Linked DNA regions of Drosophila melanogaster. The protein of the gene in region 1 interacts with the protein of each later gene in a pairwise test. Each region holds a gene or a part of one and is shown in the gene's direction. Other genes may lie near its edges.

Region 1 (7,543 bases):
GGTTGCGATCTTCTCTTCTTTGCTCCCCTGTCGTGCTCCTCTCTCCACTCTCTCCAACTCCGATCTCCACTCCACTCCTCTCCAACTCTTACTCCACCACTTCCTCTTTTTCGCTCAGGTTGAGCGAGGTGAAAGAGTGAGTGAGTAATGCTGTTAGCAATGTAAACAGTTTACGGCATTCGGCATTTGCTGGGGTTATTCATGAATCGCTGTGTTTTTTATTGTTGCTCTGGGGACGCCACTGGAGCATTGCTTTTTGTTTTTGTTATTGCTTGCTGCTGTCGGTGATTCAAAAGTCGCACCAGCTTTCATGACTAATGCTTTTGAATCGCGAGATCAGGTAGAGAATAAAAGGGTTACAGGTTGCCCTAACTCAGCACTTGACATAATCACAAAAACAAAAAGGAACAGTCGAATTAAATATCTAACAAATAGGCACACGCTCGCGACTGCTTCAACGGTATCGTATCGAATGTCACTCAAGTCGAACTGAAATCGTAGTTACTTTTCGTTGTTTATTATCCGTACTGGTTGAATGTAACGGACAAATTGCGTAGCGCCTGCGTTCTCGTGCCGGATCGTATTGGATCGTCTATAACTGCCGGATCGAGTGCAGTTCGTCGAGTGCGGGCAGCGTAGAGCGAGTCGCGATATTGCCAGTTGACAATCGGCAGCCCCCTCTCACTCTTTACTCTCACTCTCAACTAGTGTCTAAATGACTCTCCGCCGCCGGCCAGTGGCGTAGGGAACTGATTGAGGGAGGGTATACTCCGTTCGTTAGATATTCCGTCTGAACGCACGTCAGTTGCGCTCCATGTTAGTCAGGTTTCCCCTCATTTGGCGCGCCCCTGTTACTGCCCCCACGACTTGGCGCTCTCTTCTGCTCTCTTGCTCGCTCGCACTCCCGCACTCTCGCCCGCCGGCCGGAGACAGCGCAGAAGACAGACAGGGACAGACAGAGAGGCGGAGATCGGCGATCAGCCATCGGCCATCTGGTGACCGACCGAGGGGCGGGTGTGGGTGGAGGCCGCTCAATGGTTGCCGATCGATCAGATGCATATCGCAGATACGCCGCTTCTGCTTCCTCTCTCCACTGAAGCAAATGTGCAATGATAAGGCTTCATGTGTCTGCATTCTAATGTTTACACAATTGGACATTCGACATCGATCGAGGCGATCCAACATGGCTGCACTGGGAAAAACGGTCTGTCGCATGGTAAGGAACTGATGGTTGGAGCTACCGCACATATCGCATTAGGAACTGTGACCTGGTAATAAATGTTTTCGGTGCAGATATCGAACTGAAGACGTAGGGATTTGTGCGCACTCTCATTGTTTGTTGTTTGCTGCGGATTGTGTGAAGAACACGATAGTTTATGGCTATCTAAACATGGGCCCGTGCGTGTGCGTATGCGTATAGGCGTATATGTAAGTACGCCGGAGAAGTTTACATTAGTCTGGATCTCTGGATCCGAATTCGAATCCGAAGCGGGCGTCGATTGGCGTTCGAATCGTATTCACAATCATATCAAGAATGGTTGATGAGTGGGGGGGGGGGGGAGGTCTTAGTTTCCACTTTTATGCCCATCCCGCAGGCATTTCCAAGTACAGTGGTGGGCGCAAGGATAGTGCACTTTTAATTTCTTAAAAAATGATGGGATTATACGTTTAGATTAAGCTCGATAAAGCCTTGTATTGTTTTATGAAAACGCATGTTTTCGCAAGTACGAGGATGAGCCATATGTTTCGTTATCACGTATTGTATTCCATCCAGTTCCTAGGATCTTAAACTTAAAAATTTCTCGTCATTTAAGTGAATGCGATATGGCGCTATAATTATATTAATTTCCTCAAGAACTGAATGTTATTTTCTTGGGTAGTCGGCTGCAATTCCCGGACTATTGGCCTGCATGAAAACAAACAACGTATTCGTATTCGTGCCGTTGCCAAAGAGTTTTCCCTAGAACCGCCTGTTTTTCTTTTCAAAAGGCAAACAATACTCAATTCGACCCAACAGACGACCCGCACTCTGACCCTCGGAAAAGTAGAGAGGTTTCCCCCGGCATATTGGCTTGATTAATTAAGACTACATATGTACGCTGACGTCGTGTGACACCAGGCTTCCGGGGTTTGACTCATTATTCGAAACGGGTTATGAGAGCGTGAAAAACGCATAGTCTCGAGTTATGATTCAGGATTAATCGCCCATGACTGGAGTATTCATTCTACGCACAAATTCGATCTATAGGCATATTTATTCGAATGAGTCCCTCTCGCAAAAGTTTTGCTTTTTTTTTCAGTTCCTCGCTTCGAATGGATGCCGCCCATTTATTATCCAGAAAATTGCCAGAGGAAACTATGCAACCACACACACAAACACACACACACATGCACACGACCCAGGAACCGAAAAGTTTTTCATTTCAAAAATGCCGGAGAGGTGCGTATGGCCCGAAATCAGGGCTACGAATAGACTCGATTCATCTGTAGGAGCTTATTCATTGTATTCCCAATATATTCATGTAACCTCTGGCACACCGAATTTTTTAAGCATCCAAGACGTATCGGTCAAGGTATCAATTAAGGAGGGGAACTTCTTACTTCATTGCAAGTGATAAGTCTTGAATTGTGTTAGCAATGCAGATAACTTTCCCCATGCTGCTCATGACTTATATTCCACCAGACTGATGCAAAGACTAGTCTAATGCAAGTATGTATGTTCTGGCTGTCGGAATGCTCAAGTATGTAGCTAAAACGTCGAACCATTTTGGGCAATGGTATCCCTGGTCTAGTATCTGAAACTTTGAAAAACGGCAACAACAGCAACATGACCCCGTCAGAATATCGACGAAAGAGCGAAAGAGTCGAGTGGATTGGGGCGGAATGGGGCGGGAAGGGCGGTTAAGAAACAACACCGAATAGGAACAATGTAAACAAAGCGCCCATTCCACACGCAAATTACCAAATTACCCGATGATGAAGTCAATTGTTGTATACAATAAAAATGTGTGTTGTTGCTGCTGTTGCTGCTCTGAGATTCTTTTGTTTTCCTTTTTGAAAGTTTTTCTAGTTCGCCTGCTGTTTTTTTTTTTTTTCTCAATATTTTGTACGCTTGGCTGGCGGCGACTGCCTTCGGGCCCACTTTTTGGGTGGGAACCATGTCGGTGTATGGATGCGGAGAATTCAGTTTTAGTACAAATTCGGCGCAGGAACGAGCAACGCGTCTTTTGCCGAACACAAAGTGCCGCGCGATGTTCCCACCAAAATCCGGACCAACTCCGCATCCGATCTCGATAGCGCTGCCTCTTTCGGATCCCTATGCTACTGATCACATGGCGGATCAGGACGCGGTGTTGCCGGTACCCCTTTCCGACAGCCTGGACCTGGACGTGGACGTGGACCTCAATCTGAATATGAATCTTAATCTCAATGTAGACGACAGGCGCCAGGTGCTCTTCGAGGGCTATTCGGACGAGCTGCTGACCATCGCCTGGGTGGCCTGCATAGTGTTCATCATTGTGGGCGTTCCCGGAAATTTACTGACCATAGTGGCCCTGTCGCGAGGTCGTCAAACCCGCAACTCCACGGCCATATTCATAATCAATTTGTCCTGCTCGGATCTACTCTTTGGCTGCTTTAATCTGCCATTGGCCGCGTCCACTTTCAAGGAGCGGGCGTGGACCCATAGTGATCTGCTGTGCAGGTTGTTTCCGATGCTGCGCTACGGCTTGCTGGCGGTGTCCCTGCTCTCCGTGTCGCTGATCACCATCAACCGGTACATCATTATCGCCCATCCCAGGCAGTATCCAAGGTGAGAATGGGCCTGCCCATATCGGCATGTCCTGCCTAAATCTTGAAGGGTATTCAGAGTGCCCAACTCTTCCTCTTGGTGCTTATCTGTTTATTATGATACGCATGGTAACCTACCACTTAATCTGAGAAAAAAACCCACACATATGTTATTGTGTTTCTGAACTTATAAACTTTTGAACTTGTTTATAAAAAGGAAAATGTATGGCTTCTCGTAGATGTTTTTTAATTAACTAAAAAAGAGAACATTACTTGCTAGAGGCAAATGCTATAGAAAAGGTCGGTTCAGCGATCTCAATATTTTCGTAATAAACAATTAAACTGAACGGAAATTAATATCTTATAAAATATGAACTACAATATTTCTGGAGAAATAAATAACTAGCTAGTTTTTATTTTCGTGAGCTACGGATATCTTAAAATAATATATTTGAATACAATGAGCATATATTATTATCAAATTAGACATGGTACAAAATACAATTCCCACTGGTTCAAATCCGTTCTTCCAGAATTTACCAGCGACGATATTTGGCTTTGATGGTAGCCGGCACATGGATCACCACGTTTTCCATAATGATACCCACCTGGCGGGGCGTATGGGGTATCTTTGGCTTGGACGTCAGCATCGGCTCGTGTTCCATCATGCATGATCGGTATGGTAGATCCCCCAAGGAGTTCCTCTTCATCGCCGCCTTCATGGTGCCGTGCATCTGCATCGTGATCTGTTATGCCCGAATCTTCCTGCTGGTGCGAAAGGCGGCCATTCGCGCGGGAACCGCTGGCAAGACCAATGTCAGCGATGTGACTCCCAGCTCCGCGCCGCAGCATCAGATTCAAGCCATGGCCACACCAAAGAAGCCGGAGAAGGTGACCACGTCCAGCGGCGAGGCGAACGAACCGATCGCAGGACGACCCTTTGTGGTGGAGGAAAACTTAGCGTATATCGATGACAATGCTTCGACGGACAGTCTGCCGATCTCGTACAGCATACGGAGGAGGGATCAGGACCAGCAGCCACCGCCTGTTGATGCCAATGTGGTGCTCAAGGAGCGGGAGAAGGAAAGGGATCGGGATCAGGAAAAGGTCAGCCTGGGACGCAGTCAAACGCAACTAGAGATGGGCAAAACCCATGGGTGAGTAGCTGTTGAAGGCTTCTTTGCCATTTCACTCAACCTTAATGCGTAAATCCATTCCAGAAAGAACCCTATCACTACATCCCTGCGCACCACCTCCTTCACACGGTTTAGCCCGCGGAAATCCCACTACGCCTCCATGGGCAATACCTCAAATGCATCCTCTATTTACCCGGGAAGGATGAGTGCCAAGGACCGGAGATTGCTTAAGATGATACTGGTAATCTTCGTGTGGTTTGTAATTTGTTATTTGCCCATCACGGTGGCCAAAATATGGAAAAGCGCCACCGAGGTGCACTGGTTCAACATTGCTGGCTATCTACTTATCTACTTGACCACCTGCATCAACCCGCTGATCTACGTGTTGATGAGCTCCGAATACCGAAGAGCTTACTGGAACTTGCTGCGCTGCCATGGCTCTCCAGATACCCAGAAGCAGCGGAATCAGGCCAATGCAAAGCGAAAGCACCTGGAGTCCAATCGGCAGGTGAAGGCCACGACGTGACTCCGACAGATGCCTTAACACCTTCATCGTCCTCCGTCCTAGCGGGATATGATATATGTGTGCCATATGGTAGTAATACGATGGGAGAAGTACCCAAATGTCATGTTGAATGATCTGCGGTAAGAAAAAATTCCTTGATCCCCTGGTGATTATAGTGCCTCCAAAAAAGATTTCTAGTCACATGATCCGGCCGGTCGTCCCTTCCACGCACACACGAAAACACAGATCACCCATATATATCTATATCTATATCTATATAATGTAGGAACTCCAGAAGTATATTGCATTTTATACCAAATGACTTTAATATCTGGTTTACATTTGAATTCCATGTTTAAGAACAATCGATGTTTGTTTAAATTTTGTTTTTTTTTTCTTTGCTTGTCGCTAATTATTGTACCAATACATAATAGATATATCCTTATATGGATACGCCCTTTCTATGCCCCCAATAAATGCTTCGAATAATTGATATATGTAGTTACGTTGTTCTCGTCCACTGTCGTGGGGGCAATACAATAGTGTATAGTGTAATCATAAGTAGAGCTATAGCTTAACGCTATTATTATCAATATACATATTGTATATGTCTGCGTATATGCGTACGAAACTTGGACTACTTAAGACTAGTAACACAACTAAATCATTCAATATTACTGCTTCGCCCGGTTCGGTAATGATTCTATCGGTTCCAATAAACGTGAATCGATGTAACTCCGATTCCGATTCCGACCCGCATTCATATCTATATAGGCTATTTATATGTATGTATGGGTGTATATCGTATATGGATCAAATAATTCATAATTGCGATTGCGAGCTTAATAAAAAGGTGGCCCCGGTCCCGGTCCAGCCCCCATTATAGTTCGATGTCCAGTCCTACCCCTTTTCCTTTCCCACCGACTTCCACTTACAAATCTACTCCCATTCGAATTGCCCCAACCCCTCCACCGAATAACATCACACACGGCCTCAGACTGACTCAAGGTGCTCCGATATCTCCAGGATGGGGCTCTCGCTGAGCGGCTTTACCAGCGACTGCCAATTGGGCGTGAAAAGGCTGAGCACCGGCGTCGATGTCTGCGGAGGACACAAGGAGAAAACGGATAAGGTTTATATACGAACTTGGGATGCCTGAGAAATCATCTTAATATGCGTTATCTAGCTTACTTACATGATAGTCGGAGTCCAGGCTGTGACCGTGGGGCGTGGTAGGCTTGCACTTGACCGTGGGCGTACCCGGCGCCGTGGACGGTGGAGCTGAGCATGATACCCCAGCAGCTGATCCTCCGGAACCAGCTCCATTAGGCGCCGCACCAGGCACCTGGTCCGATTGGCTGATGTAGGAAGTCTTGAGGTTCATCTGACTGAAGGCATGAGCTCCGGGCATGGTCATGGAGTGCTGAAGCCTAGGAGTTCCGCTCCTGGGCCGATCAAGCAAGGCCAACTCGTACAACTCGTCGGCCAGGTGATGTTCCGGAGCCGGAGCCGGCGGCGGTGGCGGACCCAGGCTGTGGCCAAAGTGGTGATGGTGGTGATGGCTGTGCTGCTGATGGTGGTGATGTCGACCGGCTAGCTGCGCCTCCAGTGCGTACTGCTTCTGGAACAACTGACGCTTCTGCTGAAGCAGGCGGTGCTGCAGTAGCTGCTGCTGCAGCGGTGGCTTTTGCATCGGGGACATGGGCACGGCCATACCCACGCCCAACTGATGGTGCGTGTATAGCCCTGGTGGCGGCGGTGGCGGAGCATAGCATCCATGACCATACATATCCCCACCAGCAGCGGCTTCCAGGAGCAGAGGTGTGGCTTGGTGGCCTGAATGGAACAGCGAATGATGGCCATGGTGATGCTGCGCAGGATGCGCATGATGATGGGGCAAAGTCAGCAGCGGATGATGCTTGCCCGGCAGAGCATAGAATTGACCATTTGGAAATTGACAGAGTTCTTCCAAGCCGTACGCTTGGGGATGAGGATGCGGATGCTGATGCGGATGTTGATGGGCATGTGGGTGTGAATGCCCCACAGCCGCCTCCTGCTGCAGCTGCTGCAGCTGCTGGATCTCCAGCCAACCGTGACGCTTGGCCTGCTCGTA
Region 2 (5,992 bases), about 15 Mb from region 1:
GGAGGGTGGCTCGCGGGATGTTGGGGCAGCAAGGGGATCCTGGGGAATGGGGAATACGGAATAAGGAATAAGGAGCAAAAGTGACGAGATGAGCCAGGGACCTTGGGTCTAAGCTCTCGGAACGAAAACACGCGCACAGTGGAACCTTGTGGCATGTCCCTGGAGTTAAGAGCTCAGGAGTCGAAGGACAACAAAATACGCAAGGAGGCTACAGAGAGAAAGAGGCACAGAGGCAGCAAGAGAGAGCGAGAGAGATCTGGGAAACAAAAAGAGAGAGCGCCAAATTGGACAAACAAATTTCAAAGAAACGCACAGAAAGAAACACAGTTTTTATGAAACAAATTGATGTTTCATAGATAAATAGTTTCTTATCGTTTGGCATATAGAATATGCGATTAACTTTTCTGCTTAACTTTCCAATTTGATAGAGACAAAATATAATGGCCAAACGAGTTATTTGAGACTTTTTAATACCATTTATTTCAAATATATCATTTAACGAAATATGAAGCTAAAATGGTTGAAATACTTTAATTAATTATAATATATTTCTGACTGTGCATTCAACGTCGGCAGAGACTGCGCAGCAGCAGAGCTGGCAAAAAACAGTAAAAAAAAAGGAGAAAAAACAGAACAGAAACATACACATACACACACACACACACATTGAGAAAAGCGAAGGAAGAACCGTTATGTGCTGCTGCTACAGCATGAAAATTTCGTAGCTTTTGGTGTCCTGCCACTCACACACACTAGCACACAGACGCAGGACGAGGAGAGCCGTAATTTACGTGCGGCTCTCTTCGAGAAAATCTCTTGTTTGCACACACACACACACATAGGCACACACGAAAGTTTTCTTGTTGAATTTTACTGATATTTCCATTCCATCAGTTGCCTTTGGCAGCCTTTTTCGGTTATAATTATTCTTGTTTCACTTGTTCTTGCTGTTTTTTGCACACGAAAAAAATTTGTTTGTTGGGGATGTATGTACGTACAGCTTCAGCTGAAATTTCATCGCTTTTCATCACACACACCAAAGATGACTAATAAGAGAAAAAATGTTGCCTATGTATACATATATAATGTACACCCACACACACACATGTGCTGTGTGTATCATGTTATTTTACCCGTTGCACTCGCGTATTTTCGCTGTTGTTTTTCCTTCTTTTTTTTCGGGCCCAAAAATCGACAGGAAAATTAATTGAAACGGGCATGGGCGGACATTGACATTGCGCTTTTTTTTCCTCCTTTTTATTTCATATTTTGTATTTTTTTTGCCCGTTTAATGCAATTAATGTATGTATGCACACACAACAAAAAAAAACATTTCACGTCTTGGCCCGTTCTTATTGGAATATGTACACATACAGCTGTATGTATGCATATGTATATCGGTATATGTATATGCGCGCGTGTGGCTGGGCATGTGTGCGTGTGTTTGTTGGTGGTTTGAAACTGCTCCAAGCCTCCCATTTGCGTCTGTGTGCGTGCGTGTGTTGCACAATTGTATGGGGGCGGGGCGGTCGAGGATGTTGGGGGAGGGGTTCAGGGGGCAGGATGATGGAGGAGGATGAGAAGTAGAAAATAGCACGAGAAAAAAAACAGTGACTGCTTGCAATTTACCTTAACTTCGTTTTGCTTTTAGCTCGAAATTTTCACACTCGACGGTTTAAGCTTTTGTTTTTTCGCTATTCGCAATTCGTGTTAAACTTTTTACTTAATTTTTGTGTGTGTGTTGACGGAGCGCGTTCGAAATGCACACGGATATCTGATTTATACGGGAGATTAATAAAAAGTGCACGCGCGCAGCAGGGCAAATCGCAAATGTTGCACTCGATAACACGCTCGTTCGTTTTCCTTTCTTATAAGAAATCGATAGAGGCGTGATTTGTCTGGGCTTATCGAGGAGCGATTCCGATTGGACTGAATGCGGTGCGGTGTGACCGTTTCGCGGTGTATGGAAATATGAAAACTCTCAGTTGGATATAATATAATAGGGATGGAACAAAAAGCAACTAGCAGTTTTATTCAAATCGGATTGAAATTTTTAACAAATCAGTAATTTAAACCTAAAAACTTATAATATTGTAATTTAATTCGATGCAATAAAACACGACTTCTTAGGTTCGTAAATAATAAGAAAAAATGCACGGTTATATTGTTAACTGAAAATTACTTCCCTTTTCAAAAACCATAGCATACATTTTGCTGCATTGACATCAAAATAAGCCCATAAGAATATTTTTTCTTATTAGAAATTATACAATCTTAAAAACTTAAGTATTTTACTATATAATCCACTAGTATATAAAAATAACATCTGTATACGTTTTTGTCCACGTGAATGCTAGTTGATTAAATAAAAATGAAATGTTTGATCAACTATCTGTTGTAAACTTTTGTATTCTCCTTATGTAGAACTCGACCTATTACAAGTATGCTTTTACAAGAGGCATATTTATCCGGATGAACAGTCAAATTCAAAAAGGCATATTTCAAGGCTGTGTCCACACTTATACCGAATCCGTTATATTATCGAGGAATTTACGCTATCGATGAAAGAAACCACCTAAAAAATCCACGCTTATGTCGAAATACGATACTGATTTAATATTGACGTAAATCTTGTTATTGTTTTGATGCAACAAATATTTAATAAAGTTTAACTAAAGATCATTTATCCGCCGTTACATCGGCAACAAACTTGGTCGAGGAATCAAGTCGCCCGTCCGCAAACTGGACGGAAGATTTGCCACCTTGAGGTGGAATCACCGGCAACCGGCGTGATCGCTCTCAAGTCAAAACAATGGTGTCCAACAGAAGTCCTCCTCCGAATCATGGTCCCTTGCCGGGGTCCAGTGGTGGCACCTCCCTGCTAGCCCTGTGCCTGATCCACTTCGTCCTGGCCGTGATCTCCGGCTGGGGTCTGAAACGGAGCACCGGCAGCAAGGCGATGGCCGCCTTTGGGATCTACTTTGGCCACAGCCTGCTCTGCCTGCTGCGGCACACGCATCCCAATCCGGGCGCAGTGCAGCGTCTGCTGTGCGACAAGTCGAGACGTTACTCCTGCGTCCTATTTGTCACCCTGGTGGTGGGCGAGCTGCAGACCGTAAATCCGGCCACCCGAATGGGTGACTTCTTCGGCGCCGACTGGGAGCGTCTGGCCTTTGGACTGTGGAGCGCTGTACTGGCACTTGCAGTCACCAGCTTGTGGTTCGGCAACAGTCGCAGTCCACTGGGTGCCACATTCATAAAACTGGATGCCGCGCAATTGGGCCTCTGTGTTCTGTGGAATGTCCACTGTCTTTGGCGCATCGCCATCGTCGACGAGCACTGGTGGTCACTTGGCCTGGCCCTGCTTGTTCTGCTGAATCACTTTGTCCTGTGGCGACTGCCGCTGCACTACAACATCAGCCAATTGGAGGTGGCCACCGTGGGCATGTGCTTTAGCACCATCTTTGCGCTGAATGCCATCCAGGAGCAACTGGACGCTGTGGCCAGCTGAGAGTAGCTGGTCGGGCAACCAGGGACTGGAGCCTTGATTGCCAAGCTCTAAGACACCAACATTTAATTATAAGATGCACGTTGTTGAACAATTTTTTGAGTAATAAACCAGACTTCTTATTTCGAAACAATTATTGCATTGTTATCATACATACATAAAAGTGTGGAATTATATTGGATTAGACGGTTTCCTTTTGCATAAGCTTTTTAATACATATTTTCGTTTTAAATATAGTTTAAATTACTTCTCTATGCGCTTTATTACATATTGATCTGGGCTTGGAGTTTCTATACTCTCGGTTTTGTTCGCCGGCTCGAAGTGTTCCACGCAACGAGCACGGCCTAGCCGAAAACTAACTCTCATTGTTAAGGAAAATTAAATGTAGCAAGTATCGTTAGAAAGAAAACTATATATATATATATGTATACGATTTAAAAGAATGTGAAAACAAATCGTACGCCTACGAAACTAATAATTGGGGCGAGAGATGGTTGTGGTGGGTTGAGGGATGAGGTTTTGGGCGGGGCAATTTCCTAGGCGTGGGTGCTGTCGTCCTCGACGAAGTCCTTGGCCTCCTCCCTGGTCACACAATCAATGTGACTGACCTTATTTCGGAATCGCACGCCGTAGAACTTGTGCGCGTTCTCCAGCAATTCCGGCCGGAACGTTGTCGTAATGAACTGGGCAGTGTCGCTGAGCTCATGGATCATGTTCGCCACCGCCTTTCGATGCATTGCATCCAGCGCCTGCACAAAACATTAGTAGATCATTAGTCAATCAAATAAAGTAATGCGTAATTATAGGTAATGTGACGACTCACCTGATCTATCTCATCAAATAGGTAGAAGGGAGCTGGATCGCACTTTTGGATGGAGAAAATGAGGGCCAGGGCGACAAGCGACTTCTGTCCACCAGACAACTGGTTCATCTCACGCATCTCAGCCTCAACGCCGGTGAACGAAACCCGAATGCCGATCCCTGTGAAAGCATCGGAGTTTTCCACCTCCTTTTCCATTTCGTCGCCTTCGTTGTCCTTGGTCTTCAGGATGAGAAAGCCCGCGCCCATGGGCACCAGCTTCTTAAACACCTTGGTGAAGTTCTGCGCCACTTGTCGGAACGTAAATTGAATGGCCTCCACTTTTTGCATCTCCAATGACTGAATTAGCATGTGGATCTTCTGGTCACCGATGTCGAGCTCCTCTTTGCGGCGATAGAGCTTCTCCTTCTGCTCGGAGAAGCTCAAGAACTGATCCAGGGCTTTCTTGTTCACATGGTTATACTTCTTCAGGTGCTGGTTTGCCTTCTCCAGCTCTTTGAAGATGTTCTTCAGGGACATGCGTGTGTAGGAAGGATCAACTAGCGGCACGGCGCCCAAGCTGGCAATCTTTTCCGTACACTCATCGATTTTTTCGTTGAGCATGTTCTCCTTGGTCGACCATTTCTCCAGCTGCTTGGAATCCTTGTTAAGATTCTCCTCGGCCTCCTTCTCCTTACGCACATGCGTTTCGAGCTCCTGCTGCAGCTCCTTTTGCAGTTGCACAGCCTCCATTACCCGCTTTTCGATCTCCTCCAGATCGGAGTTGACCTTCTTGATTCTCTTTTCGGCGGAAACCAGTTCCGTTTTGCAATTGTTTAGCTTTCGCTTGCGGTCCTCCACGGAAATCTCCTGCAGCGCTTGGATCAGTTCGTCGCGACGCCGGAACAGATTGTTGATCAGCAGGTTGTCTAGCTTGTTCTTGCGCACCTCGAACTGCATACGCTGCGTAAACGCTTCCTTATTCTCCTGGTTCAGTCGACGAATGTCGTCGTTCAGCTGGTCAATCTCACGCTGATCCTGCGACGACAACGTCGACATCAGCTCCTGCTTCAGCTCCGCCTCCAAACTAGATTTCGTACTGGTCATGGACTCCAATGAGGCCTTGCATTGGGCCAGTGAGCGCTCCTTGGGCGCACGATACTGCTCGATGCGCACCAGCTCCTCCTTCATCAGGCGAATCTCGCCCTGCACCTTTTCGAATACATCCTTCGACTTGCCCTGCTTCGTTTCCGTCTTCTGCATCTCGGATACGATTGAGTTGATGTTGTTCTCGGTGGACTTGAGCTCGTTTCGCAGCTTGCTGAGTTTCTTTTCGAATTCAGCTATCTGGCTGGTGTATTCCGTGCGCTTCTTTTGCATCTCAAGACGGGAACGGGATGTATTGAAATAGCCGCCAGTGAGGGATCCCTTGGAGGACACTTGATCTCCGTCCAGCGTAACGCAATCCAGCCCAGTGCTCTTGGCCAGCTCGGTGGCGCGCTCCAAATTTCTGCAGATTAGCGTTTTTCCAAAGATATACCTCAGCGCCTTGTCGTGCTGTTCATCGTACTTCAGTTTGGAGATCATAGGTATGGAGTCGGGATCATCCGGATAATCGTGTATTTTAACCTGAAGTCGATTCAGGGGCATAAAGGTCACCTCGCCCGGTAATTTCAGCTTATTCA

Evidence for each region. The genes of interacting proteins can lie anywhere in the genome.
Region 2: the proteins of CG4313 (region 1) and CG13014 interact in a two-hybrid assay, tested with the Drosophila melanogaster proteins (one large-scale study listed by BioGRID).

The regions. Positions count from the first base shown.
Region 1 is NC_004354.4:2,049,495-2,057,037, forward strand, and holds CG4313 (uncharacterized protein), read left to right. Parts: upstream 1-3,189; 5' UTR 3,190-3,251; coding exon 3,252-3,811; intron 3,812-4,322; coding exon 4,323-4,946; intron 4,947-5,009; coding exon 5,010-5,451; 3' UTR 5,452-5,920; downstream 5,921-7,543. Other genes in the region: Sik2 (Salt-inducible kinase 2), read right to left, coding at 6,424-6,531, 6,626-7,543.
Region 2 is NC_004354.4:16,585,296-16,591,287, forward strand, and holds CG13014 (uncharacterized protein), read left to right. Parts: upstream 1-2,577; 5' UTR 2,578-2,812; coding exon 2,813-3,511; 3' UTR 3,512-3,635; downstream 3,636-5,992. Other genes in the region: SMC3 (structural maintenance of chromosomes 3), read right to left, coding at 4,045-4,257, 4,332-5,992.